Linked DNA regions of Caenorhabditis elegans. The protein of the gene in region 1 interacts with the protein of each later gene in a pairwise test. Each region holds a gene or a part of one and is shown on either strand. Other genes may lie near its edges.

What was found.
Region 2: the proteins of cope-1 (region 1) and copa-1 interact in a two-hybrid assay, tested with the Caenorhabditis elegans proteins (one large-scale study listed by BioGRID).

What each region holds. Positions count from the first base shown.
Region 1 is NC_003281.10:13,424,648-13,428,518, reverse strand, and holds cope-1 (Coatomer subunit epsilon), read right to left. Parts: upstream 2,256-3,871; 5' UTR 2,166-2,255; coding exon 2,091-2,165; intron 2,042-2,090; coding exon 1,943-2,041; intron 1,895-1,942; coding exon 1,718-1,894; intron 1,664-1,717; coding exon 1,337-1,663; intron 1,291-1,336; coding exon 1,207-1,290; intron 1,056-1,206; coding exon 939-1,055; 3' UTR 798-938; downstream 1-797. Other genes in the region: Kunitz-type protein bli-5, read left to right, coding at 1-135, 582-796; exo-1 (Exonuclease 1), read right to left, coding at 2,419-2,611, 2,673-3,160, 3,210-3,291, 3,342-3,415, 3,471-3,566, 3,620-3,871. UniProt on the Caenorhabditis elegans protein: The coatomer is a cytosolic protein complex that binds to dilysine motifs and reversibly associates with Golgi non-clathrin-coated vesicles, which further mediate biosynthetic protein transport from the ER, via the Golgi up to the trans Golgi network.
Region 2 is NC_003279.8:2,894,819-2,902,695, forward strand, and holds copa-1 (Coatomer subunit alpha), read right to left. Parts: upstream 6,043-7,877; 5' UTR 5,984-6,042; coding exon 5,938-5,983; intron 5,886-5,937; coding exon 4,880-5,885; intron 4,034-4,879; coding exon 2,832-4,033; intron 2,304-2,831; coding exon 1,996-2,303; intron 1,943-1,995; coding exon 1,084-1,942; intron 1,022-1,083; coding exon 744-1,021; 3' UTR 511-743; downstream 1-510. Other genes in the region: gst-43 (maleylacetoacetate isomerase), read left to right, coding at 6,523-6,583, 6,625-6,689, 7,337-7,516, 7,563-7,643, 7,846-7,877.

The DNA.
Region 1 (3,871 bases):
TAATGTACCGAAAAGATGGAGAACCGGTGAAATGTTCGAGTAAAAAGAAGCCAGATACGTGTCCAGAAGGATTTGAATGTATTCAGGGATTATCAATTCTTGGAGCATTGGATGGAGTTTGTTGTCCTGATAGAGGTATATATTCCCTTTTTGATCATGGTAGGCACACTTTCTGCCTTTCACGCGGGCCTGCCTATGTTTTCACATAGTATCCCGTGGTTGGTGTGTGCACAGTATTTATTTCAATAAATTAGAGCAAGGCTCGTGTGCGTAGGCCGCCTTGTAGGCAGGAAATATTATGAAAATTTAGATGCTTTCCGTTAAAAATACGGCAGACGGTCTCGACACGACAAATTTTTATTAATTTAAATTGGGTAAGGTTTGCGCCTTCAAGGGGTACTGTAAAATTTCACAAATTTAACAAATCATCAGAAAATCGATGAAAAGTCCGCAACAGCAGAAGTTTGGAACTACAGTACTCCTTAAAGGCGCACATCTTTTCGCATTTAACAAAAGTTTGTCGTGTCGAGACCATATTTTTATCGCAAAAATCTCAGAATTTTTTAAAATCAAAATTTCAGCCAAAACATGCGTCCACCCAATATTCGATCATCCGGATGATGGATATCTGTCTAGATGGGGATTCGATGGTGAACAATGTATTGAATTCAAATGGAATCCCGAAAGGCCGTCATCGGCAAACAATTTCAAAACTCGCGCACATTGTGAGGATTACTGTATCGGTTCGATAAATGGAATTACTAATTATCATCAGTCCAACTTTCATCTTTTCTGAGGTTTTTGGTTCCACACTTTAATTTATTTTTCTCATAATTTTTACATCGATTTTTTCAACCAATAGACGTGCATAATTAGAAACCAAAGAAATCACATTGAGAGAGGGCGTATTTCAGAAAATAAATAAGAGATTATGGAAATTAGGCTCTGGAATCGCTGGCGACTCTATCGAATTCGGCTTCCTTCTCATTGAAATCGATAACCCATGGATGATTTGGATGCTCATGCTTCAGCTGAGAGATGAAACGTTCGACGACCTGAAAAATATTCAGTTTAATATTGTTAAATTTTTGGAATCATTAAAAAATAACTTTAAATTTTTGAATTTCTTAAAAAAAATTGAGTTTAAACATTTTTTAAATTGGGAAAATTACACTTTTTTCAGGTTTTAAAGTGAAGGAAACTAACATCGTCATCTTTTTCGTTGAGCTGGGCGGAAACGATTGAGTTGATGAGCACATCAGCATCTTTGTTATCTCTTTCCAGAGCACTCTGAAAATATAAAATTATTAATTAACTTAAATTTCTATTCTCTCACCTCCAAAAGCTCCTCTGCAGCAGCATAGTCTTGAGTCAAAATACTAACAACAGCTTGATGCATCTCCAAATCAGTAGTTCTTCCGTATTTATCAGACATTTCGCTGTAAATGTAAAGAGCATCTTTTACTTTTCCAGATGCACCGAACGAGGTGACGAGAGCATTTGCGAGTTGAGAAAGAGTAGCGTCCTCGTCGATTTGATTCATTTTCTTCACTTCACCAATTGCAAGCTTCCGCTTGTTCATTTTAATGAGAATAAACACCTTGGAGGCACGAGCCTCGAGACCTTCGAAACGGGAAACTGCACGGAATGCGTCTTGGGAGAGCTGAAATTCATTCTTGGTAATTTTAAAATAACATTAAATGTATAAATATCTCACATCAGCTTCATTGAGAATAGTAGCGGCAAGAACAGCTGCGATTTCTGATTTAATGTTTCTTGAGGCAACTTCTTCTTGAACTTCAGCCAGAATCTTCTTCTTGGCAGCTGGATTGTTGCGGAATTCGGCGTACCTGCGAACAGCAGCTAAATCAGCAGACTTCGTGGCGGCTGGGATCTTAAAATAAATAAAAGAGTTCAGGCTTGCTCATTAATCAATAACTACCTCTTTCAATGGAATAAAAGCTTGTCCTTGTGCAATATACGATCTGTACAAATAAACATCCTTCTCCTGCTTTTCCTCTTCGTTTTTCGATGAGAACTTCTGAAATATTAAAATAAACCAGGAAATCGAAGGAAACAAGATTTCTCACCAAAGCCTCTCCAATACAAGACTGATAACTTCCGAGAAAGAAATAATTGCGAATCGAGAACAACTTGTCAGCCATTTTTTGAAATCTCTATTGAAAAAGGGGAGATATTTAGAATCGAGAATAAAAGCTCGATTAAATCGGTGAAAAATTCACCACGTCACTTCAAAATATTTGCGGACAAAACACCATACTTCACGCGCAATGTAATATTGCGGACTTTCAATAAAAGAAGAAAATAATTTATTTTCGGAAAAAGGCACAAAACGAATATTTTACGTAACAAAAAACCGGTATAAAATGATAATAACGAAAATAAGTTTTTAAAAAATTATTGCTTCGATTTTCTACGGAGTCCTGCGGATTTAAAGCCAACAAATCGATATGTGGTATTTGAACTAGGCATCGGAACACTGTTCTCTTCCAATGCAGCGAGAATCGTAGTTTTCTCGATTTTTTCTTCAACTTTTTGCGTTGGTTTGACAAATGCAGGACATCGGAATGGATTTTTCGTTTTGGGAACTCTGAAAAAAGTATTTAGATTATATTTTTATTAATTCACAAGCGGATTGTTTTGTAACTCGCCCATTTTCTGAAGTTGGTTTAGAGAAATACTTGGAAGTTTGTGCAGGTTTTCTATCCGGCAACGACGGAGGAGCCGAATTTTGATGATTGAGAAGCGGCGATTGAAATTTGTGAGTTTTTCTTGCCGAATCAGGAGTTGAAACCGCTTTTCGAAGAATCGGAGGAGGCTTCAGCTCTTCGTTGCTATTTTCAACTTTTTCCTCGGCAACACTTTCCTTGGTATTTTCTTTCACTTTTTCTTGAAAAAATTCCGAGAAATCATCATCGATTACTTCCAGAATCTTTTGTCTCTTCTCCGGTGGTGGTTCTGCATACTTTTTGAGAAGAACATCAGCATTATAGTCCACTTGAGGCGCATTTTTCCGTTTTTTGATAGCCTTCTTTTCTTTTTCGATATCTGCCATGAATTGCTTCACAATGTCATCTTCGTCATCGTTTGGGGTAGTTTTCGAAGCAACTTTGACACGCTTCACAGACGGCGAATCGAGCTGGAAAATTTTATATCGTCCAAAATTTTGAGATTTTCATTCTTCTTACCTTGAAAGCTCCACCACATTGCGTAGCTTCTAACTCTTTCTGTTTGCTGATCTTGTCTAGTGTGCTTCCTTTGCTTTCATATCTTAATTATTTAATAGAGTATTCACTACTATTTCAAAGTTATATTTCTACCGTAATCCCCAGACACTCCATTCCGGGGTTGGCTGAACTAGAAGAAACTGATCGTCGATTGAGCTCTTGTTTTCCTGAAAAATGTTCAAGTTATGTAATAAAACTATATGCTCCTAAAGAATTGCTAACCGGATTTCCTAGCGCTAACCGAATAGCGATTCGCTGAGTAGAAGCTGTTCCTGCATACGCGAAACTTTTGGAGCTTGGAGCCGTCTTCTTTGGTGACTGAAATTCACATTTAAACGATATTAGTGACTAGATAAGCTTGATGAGCCTACATCCAAGTCTATAACCTCCTCCAGATCGTCGACTCCAGTCATCAAAACTTCTTTTGGGTACGGTGTCAACGGCTTCTGGCACCGTTCTCTAGGATCAAATACAATTTGATGTTTGAATGTATTTTCCGCCTTTTCGAAATTTCGAATGAATTCATCGTTCACGTGCTCCTTGAGCTTAGGATTTTTCAGGTATGATGGAACTTTTCGGAGCAAAGTTCTGAGATCCTTGATTGATGTCATGGAGAAAAATTT
Region 2 (7,877 bases), on another chromosome or scaffold:
ACTGAGAAACTGGGGGTGGGGGATCAAAAATTAATACCTTAATTGTTCAGTTTATTCGTGATTTTTGGATTTTTCGGGTCTTTTCCACGTCAAAAATGATTCTAAAATTCAGATTTTATTATATATATTATTTTAAATCAATAAATTCCGATAAAACAATCAGTTTTCAAGGAAATATGTGGACAGACATCATTGGACCACTTAGAAATTGCGAAATTCACTGAAAATTATTGATTAATTCGAAATAACTGAATAATTAGGTATATGTTAACTGAATTCCATGGAAATTTGCAAGAAAAATGAGCCAAAACGCGATAAAATCCTGGCTTTTGCCTTTTTCCGGTGCCAAAATGGTTTGTGTGCATTTTGTCGTAGTCCGCAATACCAAAACCCTAGACTTTACGACAATTTTCTTACTGTATTTTTTTTGAATTTTTTCGAGCAAATTTCTCCATGTAAATTACTGATTTAGAGAACATTTTCTTACCCCAAAGATAAATGAAAAAAAGTAAAAAAATCATGATTTATTCAAATAAAATAGACCAGCATGCAATCATAATCTTTCTGTGGGGTTTAAATAATTTTTAAAAACACATAATTTAAATAGAAAACATGAACCGCCGCCCAACGGGAAAATAATATGAAGGGACCAAAAGCAATGGGAATTGTGGAAGAACAAGGCAAATAAATTACAATAATTAATATCACACAAAAAACGAAAAAATTATCATATTTCACAACTTTTAGCTCTTCAGAGTTGAGATTCGGAGCCCAAGAACATTCTTTCCAACTTCTGCAACCTGGCACACGTTGCACACTTCTCCCTCGAGCCCTTCAGAGTACGATGCTCCACAATACGGGCATTTACAGAGTGGACGTCCACGGTAAAGAGGCACAAATTGACGAGAGCACACGACGAATGGATTATGCTCATCATAGGTCAACTGATGCGCGTCAGTGTTATCCTTCTCGGCGGCAGTCAGCACTTTTCGGATTTGAGCAGCAACTTCTGGTTTTGGAGCTGGAAAAAAAAATTAAGAATTAGAAATAAAATTTAAAAAAATCAACAACGCAAGCACGTACCGAGCTCCAATAGACGTTTGCAAAGTGATGCACAAGTCTTCATTTGCTTCATTTTGAAGAAAGTATTGATAGCAGATCTCAGTGTCAGGATACGATGCATTGGTTGAAGCTCAAAGTGTGTAAAGTAGGCAGCTAGTTCGGCGTTGCGTTTCGCATCCTCCAAATTCGTTTTTGGCAAATCTTTTCGATAAGTTTCAAGGAGAAGTGCTGCAAGATATTCCCGTGTGATTGTGATGAGCTGCTCCGCTTCGGCGACTTCTTGTTTCGAAGACACAACGATCAGTGGAACAGATAGAAGAATCTCCCGCAGTTTCTCGACAGCATCTCCAAACTTTCCATTCGTCGTCATTTGATAAGCCTTTTGCAGTTTCTTTGCAAGTTGAGAAAGTTTGAACGCAGCGACTGGAAGATGATTCTTATCCTCCTGGAAATTACGAACCGGATGAATGGACACTGGTCCAGCTGGTCCGAGTCCTCCCCATCCACGATGTGAGAGTCTAGAAGCTGCATAAGCCTTCACGAATACATCCTTGAATGGTGCTGCTTCAACGACTCCAATTGTATCATGAAGAAGCTTGATGGCAGTTCCGAATGAACCAGCTGCAACATGATCAGCAGCAAGACGAGAAACATTCGGCCATTCCGATGAGACAGCTGGAGCTGGGTTAGGAACCACTTCCTCATCATCATCTCCACCTTGATCATCGGTAACATCAGGAAGAGCCAGATCATCATCCACATCCCATCCACCTTCCTCATCTCCATCAACTGGTCCTTCTCCTTCATCAACATCAAGTTCACCATCTTCTCCGACAAGATACTCATCATCTCCCCATGCTTCATTTCCAACATCACCATCCTGCAAAAATTAATATTTTATAGCTCAGATAGCTCAGAAATCAATAAACTAACATCATCATCCATAACAGCAAAGGCAGCAGCAGCAGGCTTCACACCGCCAACATTAGTTGGAGCAGATTGTCCTCCTAATCCAAGAAGCTGTGCATCGAAAGTTCCTCGAGCCGAGGCAAGAAGTGGCCAATTCTCTTCTAAACGAGCAACTGGTGGTGGTGGGACAAGGAGGCGAGCATTTGGATCAACTGGTGGGATTGGTTGCTGACGACTCTCGAGTTCAGCCTTCAACTCCTCAGCTTCAGCAGAATATCCATGAGTGGCTGCGGCGAGGTAGGCCAGAGAAGTTTGTCCACAGTTTCGGAGCACTGAAAAATTAACTTTATACTTTATTTTGTTGAAAATGACCCAAAAAGTAACGAATTTCGTCATGAAAAATCCTGAAAAGTTTCTGAAAACTCACAAAAAAAGTTATGGCGGTTTTGAGATTTGGAAAAAAACCTATTTTCAGCTAAAATCTCAAATTTTGCCAACTTTAGTGTGTCATTGATTATTACTTTTTAATACATATTTTGGTCGTCTATCACACTTTTATTCGTTAAAACGACCAAAATACGTATTAAATAGCGATAATTGAATAAAAATCAAGTTCCGTCAGCTGCGAAACTGAAAAGTTGGCAAAATATGAGATTTTAGCTGAAAATTGGTAGATTTCCAAATTTTTTTTTGAGAAATCTCATGACGATATTCGGTAGATTTGGACCATTTTTAGGTTCAATAATTTCAAAATCGTCTAGAATTTGCAGAAATTCACGAAAAAAATACGCAAAGAGGAGCTAAAAATCAATAAAACTTTGACTTTTGCCCCCTTCTGAAATCCAGCTGCACATTTTTACCTTTAACTCTCTCCTCAACATCACCAGTGTAGAGAGCTGTCTGGAAATGTCCGTGAGCATCATTTCTAGCCTGTGCAATCTTCATCATCTTGACAAGCTTATCCGTATTTCCAGTAACAAAATACAAAAACGAGAGCTTCTCAAAGTTTTTCGTTCGTTGATAGCTCATCTCAACAATTTGATGATTGCCTTGAAGAAGAGCAGTCTCTCCGAGAGCCTCCCAGACTGCTGGCTCGTCGAGCTTCTTGGCGGCTTCCAACGCGATTTCCAGGTTTCCACATTCAATTGCCAACCCGAAGCGAGTCTTCTCATCCTTGACAAAGTGAAGAGCAATCTCTGGGTAACCCTTTTTCTCGAGATATCCAATGATGGATTGACCGACGAGATTTGCGGATCGAACCATGTTGACAACTTCATCGATTCGTTTGTTAATCAAAGCAAGCTTAAACTTGTAATCAGAATTATCAATTGGAACTTCAACTGGTGTAGCGTCACGATTCAAGCAGTAGAGCACGTTTCCTCGAATAGCCAGAATGTACAGAGGAAGATCCAGAGTACGAACGATTCCACAATCTCCAGAATTGATTGCATATTTGATGTGATTGCTAGTGGTGTAGAGGAATACCGAGTCATCATCCCAAGCTCCACTCTTCACACGAGTCGACTCCTGTTGGGTACACAGAATCTCCAATTTACGGTTGACCAAGGTCAGCGTGTGCTTTGAAAGAAGAGCTGCGAATTCCATAGACTTGCTCCAAATCACATAACGAACTTTCGACACTTTCACTGAAGCAGTCACAATCTTTTGCTGAACATCAAACAGTTGAAGCCCATCATCATTTCTCAAAAGGAGCATTCCAGTTCCGGCATAGAAAATATCGTCGACAGCCGTGTTGATATTCTCGAGTTTGCGAAGTTCCTTGTTCGTCAAATCACGCAACGACACATTCTGAGCCTTGTCAAGAACTGCAAAACGATTACGAGCAACCCAAAGTGCATTGATTCCGGTGCTCTTGACGCACGCAGCTTCAGTGGTTCCATCAGAGTTACTGGCAACTTTGTACAGCTCAAAGGCGCATAGATCCTTATTGTGAGTACGGCTTGTGAGAAGGAAGGTTCCCTCGGCAGGATTGAAGGAAAGAGAGTAGTATGGTTGCATGAATGGTTGTGGGTAACGGAGCTTGCACAGAGCAACATCCTTGCTGAAAATTTGATTTTAGAGGGGTTTTTGCTTGTACATCCCCTCTGAATGTACAAAAAATAACGAATTTTGTAGTGAGAGTCCTCAAAATTTCCGGAGAAAAGCTCTAAATTTAGCTAAGATCTCCAACTTCGTACTGAAAATAACAGATTTTTTAGATTTATCAAATTTTTAGCTTTAAAAATTTTTTTCCTGCATTTTACGAACAAACCTTCTGTTAAACAGTGAAAATCGAATTTAAAATGACTAAAATTAACTTTTTTCGTCCACTGGTTGTGAAATGGGTTGAAATTGAAGAAATCAACGGGATTTTTCTCATTTTCTAAATATTCTCCTATTAAAAATCGGTTTTAGTAAAAAAAAATGGTTTAAAACCGATTTCTAATAGAAAAATATTCAGAAAATCAGAAAAATCCCGTTGATTTCTTCAATTTCAACCCATTTCACAACCAGTGGACGGAAAAAGTTAATTTTAGTCATTTTAAATTCGATTTTCATTGTTTAACAAAAGATTTGTTCGTAAAAAGCAGAAAACATTTTTTGAAAAGCTAAAAATTTGATAAATCTCAAAAAAAACTCTGCTATTTTCAGTGGAAGTTGGAGAATTTAGCTATTGAAATTACGCCTTTTTTCCGATTTTTTGGAGGCTCTAAATACGAAATTCGCTTAATGGGGCACATTTAAAGTTTTTCATTTAAAAACTACTGAGACTCCACAAAAACATGATTCAGTGCGCCGGAAAATGCATTTTCGCAACTCTCGCACGCTTTTTTTCGCAAAAAAAAAACGCTAATTCTGTGCAAAAATGCATTTTGCGGCACACTTTTCTTGGCATCAAACTACTCACTTGGTTGTCAAATCGAGCTTGCGAATTTGTTGTCCCTTCACATAGAAAACCAAATTATCACTGACACAATAAGCCGGGCGTTCTCTTTGAATTTTAAAAACGACCATTCCATTGTCATGTCCTGCGGCGAACATGTTCAAGCTTGGATGGGCGGCCAAAACCCAGAAACGCTCATTTTCATGTCGGAAAACGTGAAGACTGGTACGCTTCTGCATATCCCACACACGAATCGACTTATCCTCCGAGTTGGAAAGAATCAAGTCAGCATTTGGATGGAAGATCACAGATGAGACGTTATTGTAGTGTCCACGGCACGAGTCGAGCTCCCAGGCTTTCGTCTCATTGTAACGCCAAATCTTGACTTGACGATCATCGGATCCCGAGACTAGAATTGGATTGGTATGATGGAATGCAACCCAGTTGACTCCACGATCGTGTCCCTCTAGCACATGCTTCACAACTGCATCAGGTTGCCCGAATAGCTCAGCTTGTTGCCCTCCGGTTGGCCGGCTTGGAGCACCTCCACCAGGCATTTGCTTCTTCCGAAGTCCAGAAATATCCCAAACACGGACGGTCTGATCCAAGGAGGCAGAAGCCACAAGATCTTCGGTTGGGTGGAATTGAGCACACATGACGTAGTGATTGTGTCCGGTGAGGATGGCGATCGAGTTTCGGCTCTGCCAATTCCAAATCCGAACCGTTTGATCGTCGGACGCAGAAATGATCCATGGATACTTATGATGGAAGAAAGTGGTACGAATATAATCCAAATGTCCGAGAAGTGTGAAAATACAGCGTTTCTGCTTGTAATTCCACACTTTAATCTTATAATCATCTCCTCCAGACACAAAGATCGGCTGATCATGATGGAAGCAAATTCCTCTCACTGGACCATCGTGCTCGTCGAACTTCTCGAGAAGAACGCACATTCGGTAGTCCCAGAGTTGAATGACTCCACTGTGCAGCGATGTGAGCACCCATGGCCGAGTTGGGTGGAACGAAATTCCTGGAAAATTGGGAAATTATTGAAAAATAATGCCAAAAACCAAAATATTTACCTTTAACCCTAGCGGATTTTGATTCAAATTTGATAAGGAGCGACATGATATCCGATTTATAGTCGGTAACCAGTCAAAAACTGCTCCTCGGCGTGAATGAAGGTTCTGAAATTATGGAAATGACACGTGGATATATAAGAATGTTTAAAAAAAACAGACAAAAATGCAAAAAATCAATGAAAAAACTTGGAATTTCGATTAAATTGATAAAGAAACTACGAAAAATACCATAAAAATTAAGAATTTCAGAGATAAAAATCGGTAAATCCACGTTAAAAGAGACAGAAAATGGAGAAAAGAGGACAACGTGGAAACCTGCGCATCAAACGGAATGTGTGCAAACACGGCGACGCGAAACTGCACAGTTTAGGAAAAATGACCGTTAAAGGGGAATTTTAAGTGGGAATTGACATAAAAAAGTGCTGAAAATTGAGGAAAATGGAGGTTTTATTCGGAGAAAGTAGTTTTTAACTGAAAAATTAGGGTTTTTGAAGATTTTTCCCACGTGTTCATATTTAATTTCTTCTCAAAATGTCATTTATTGCTTAAATATTTCAATTTTCTTCTTTAGAAGCTTCTAACTCCATGGCAAAACCGATTTTATATTCATATTGGCGTTCGTCGTGTGCCTGGAGAGTTCGCATCGGTAATTTTAGCTTGGAAATTCTATAAAATACTGATTTATAGCACTTGCTCTGAAAAATATCGACTACGAATACCGGCCAATCGACTTATTTTCTGAAGAATCCAAGGTTAGAAAATTTCCGGCAAATTGGAAAATTGCCGGAATTGAAAATTTCCGGCAAAATTCGCCAGAGCGGCAAATTGCCGGGATTGAAAATTTTCGGCAAATCGGCAAAGTGCCGAAATTTAAATTTCCGGCAAAATTCGGCCTAGCGGCAAATTGCCGATTTGCCGGAAAAAACCACAATTTGTCGAAAACTTTTGGCAACGGTAAATCGGCAATTTGCCCAAAATTACAATTTCCGGCAAATCGAAAATTTAATGAAAATCAAAATTTTCGGGCAAATTGGAAAATTGCCGGAATTGAAAATTTTCGGCAAATTCGGCATATTGCCTGAATTGAAATTTCCAGCAAATTGCTAGAATTGAAAATTTCCGGTAAATTGGAAAATTGCCGGAATTGAAAATTTCTGGCAAAATTCGGCAGAACGGCAAATCGCTGATTTGCCGGAAAAACACAATTTGCCGAAAACTTTCGGCAACTTGTGGTTTTGCACATTTTTTTCTGGAAATTTCAGAATTTCAATTTTAATCGGTAAAATTCGGCAAACGGTAAATCGGTAAATTGCCGGAATTGAAAATTTCCGGCAAACCGGCAATTTGCCATCCACCCCTGCCCTACTCCCACTTCCATAGAAATATAGCTGTATTTCAGAACAATGCAGAGTTCGTCAAGCACAACCCAGCGAAAAAAGTTCCAACTTTAGTGATAAATGGCTTATCACTGACAGAAAGCTTGGCAATAATCGAATATTTGGATGAAGCCTATCCGGATCCTCCGTTCCTTCCAAAAGAATTGGATAAGAGATCGTATTCAAGAGCTATCGCACTTCATGTGAGCTTTTAACATTCTTTAACAACTCTAAGCGAGCTCTTTTCAGATAGTCGCAAGTATTCAGCCACTTCAAGCAATCAATATCCACAAAATGCTCAATGAAAAGGAGCCGGGATACGGTGACTTTGTGGGTTCTCACGTGGTGTCAGAGTGTCCCATGTCGGGTTGATCTACCTAGATCTACAAAAAATGCGGGAGAAGAGACGCAGACTTCTAGAACGTGCTGCTGACGTCACATTTTATCGGTGAAAAAAATTTCCGCATTTTTTGTAGATCAAACCGCAATAGGTTCCAAGAGGCGTTTCCCGATAGTTCAAAATGTATTTCAGTGGTGCAATCACTTTGTGAACAAGGGATTCTT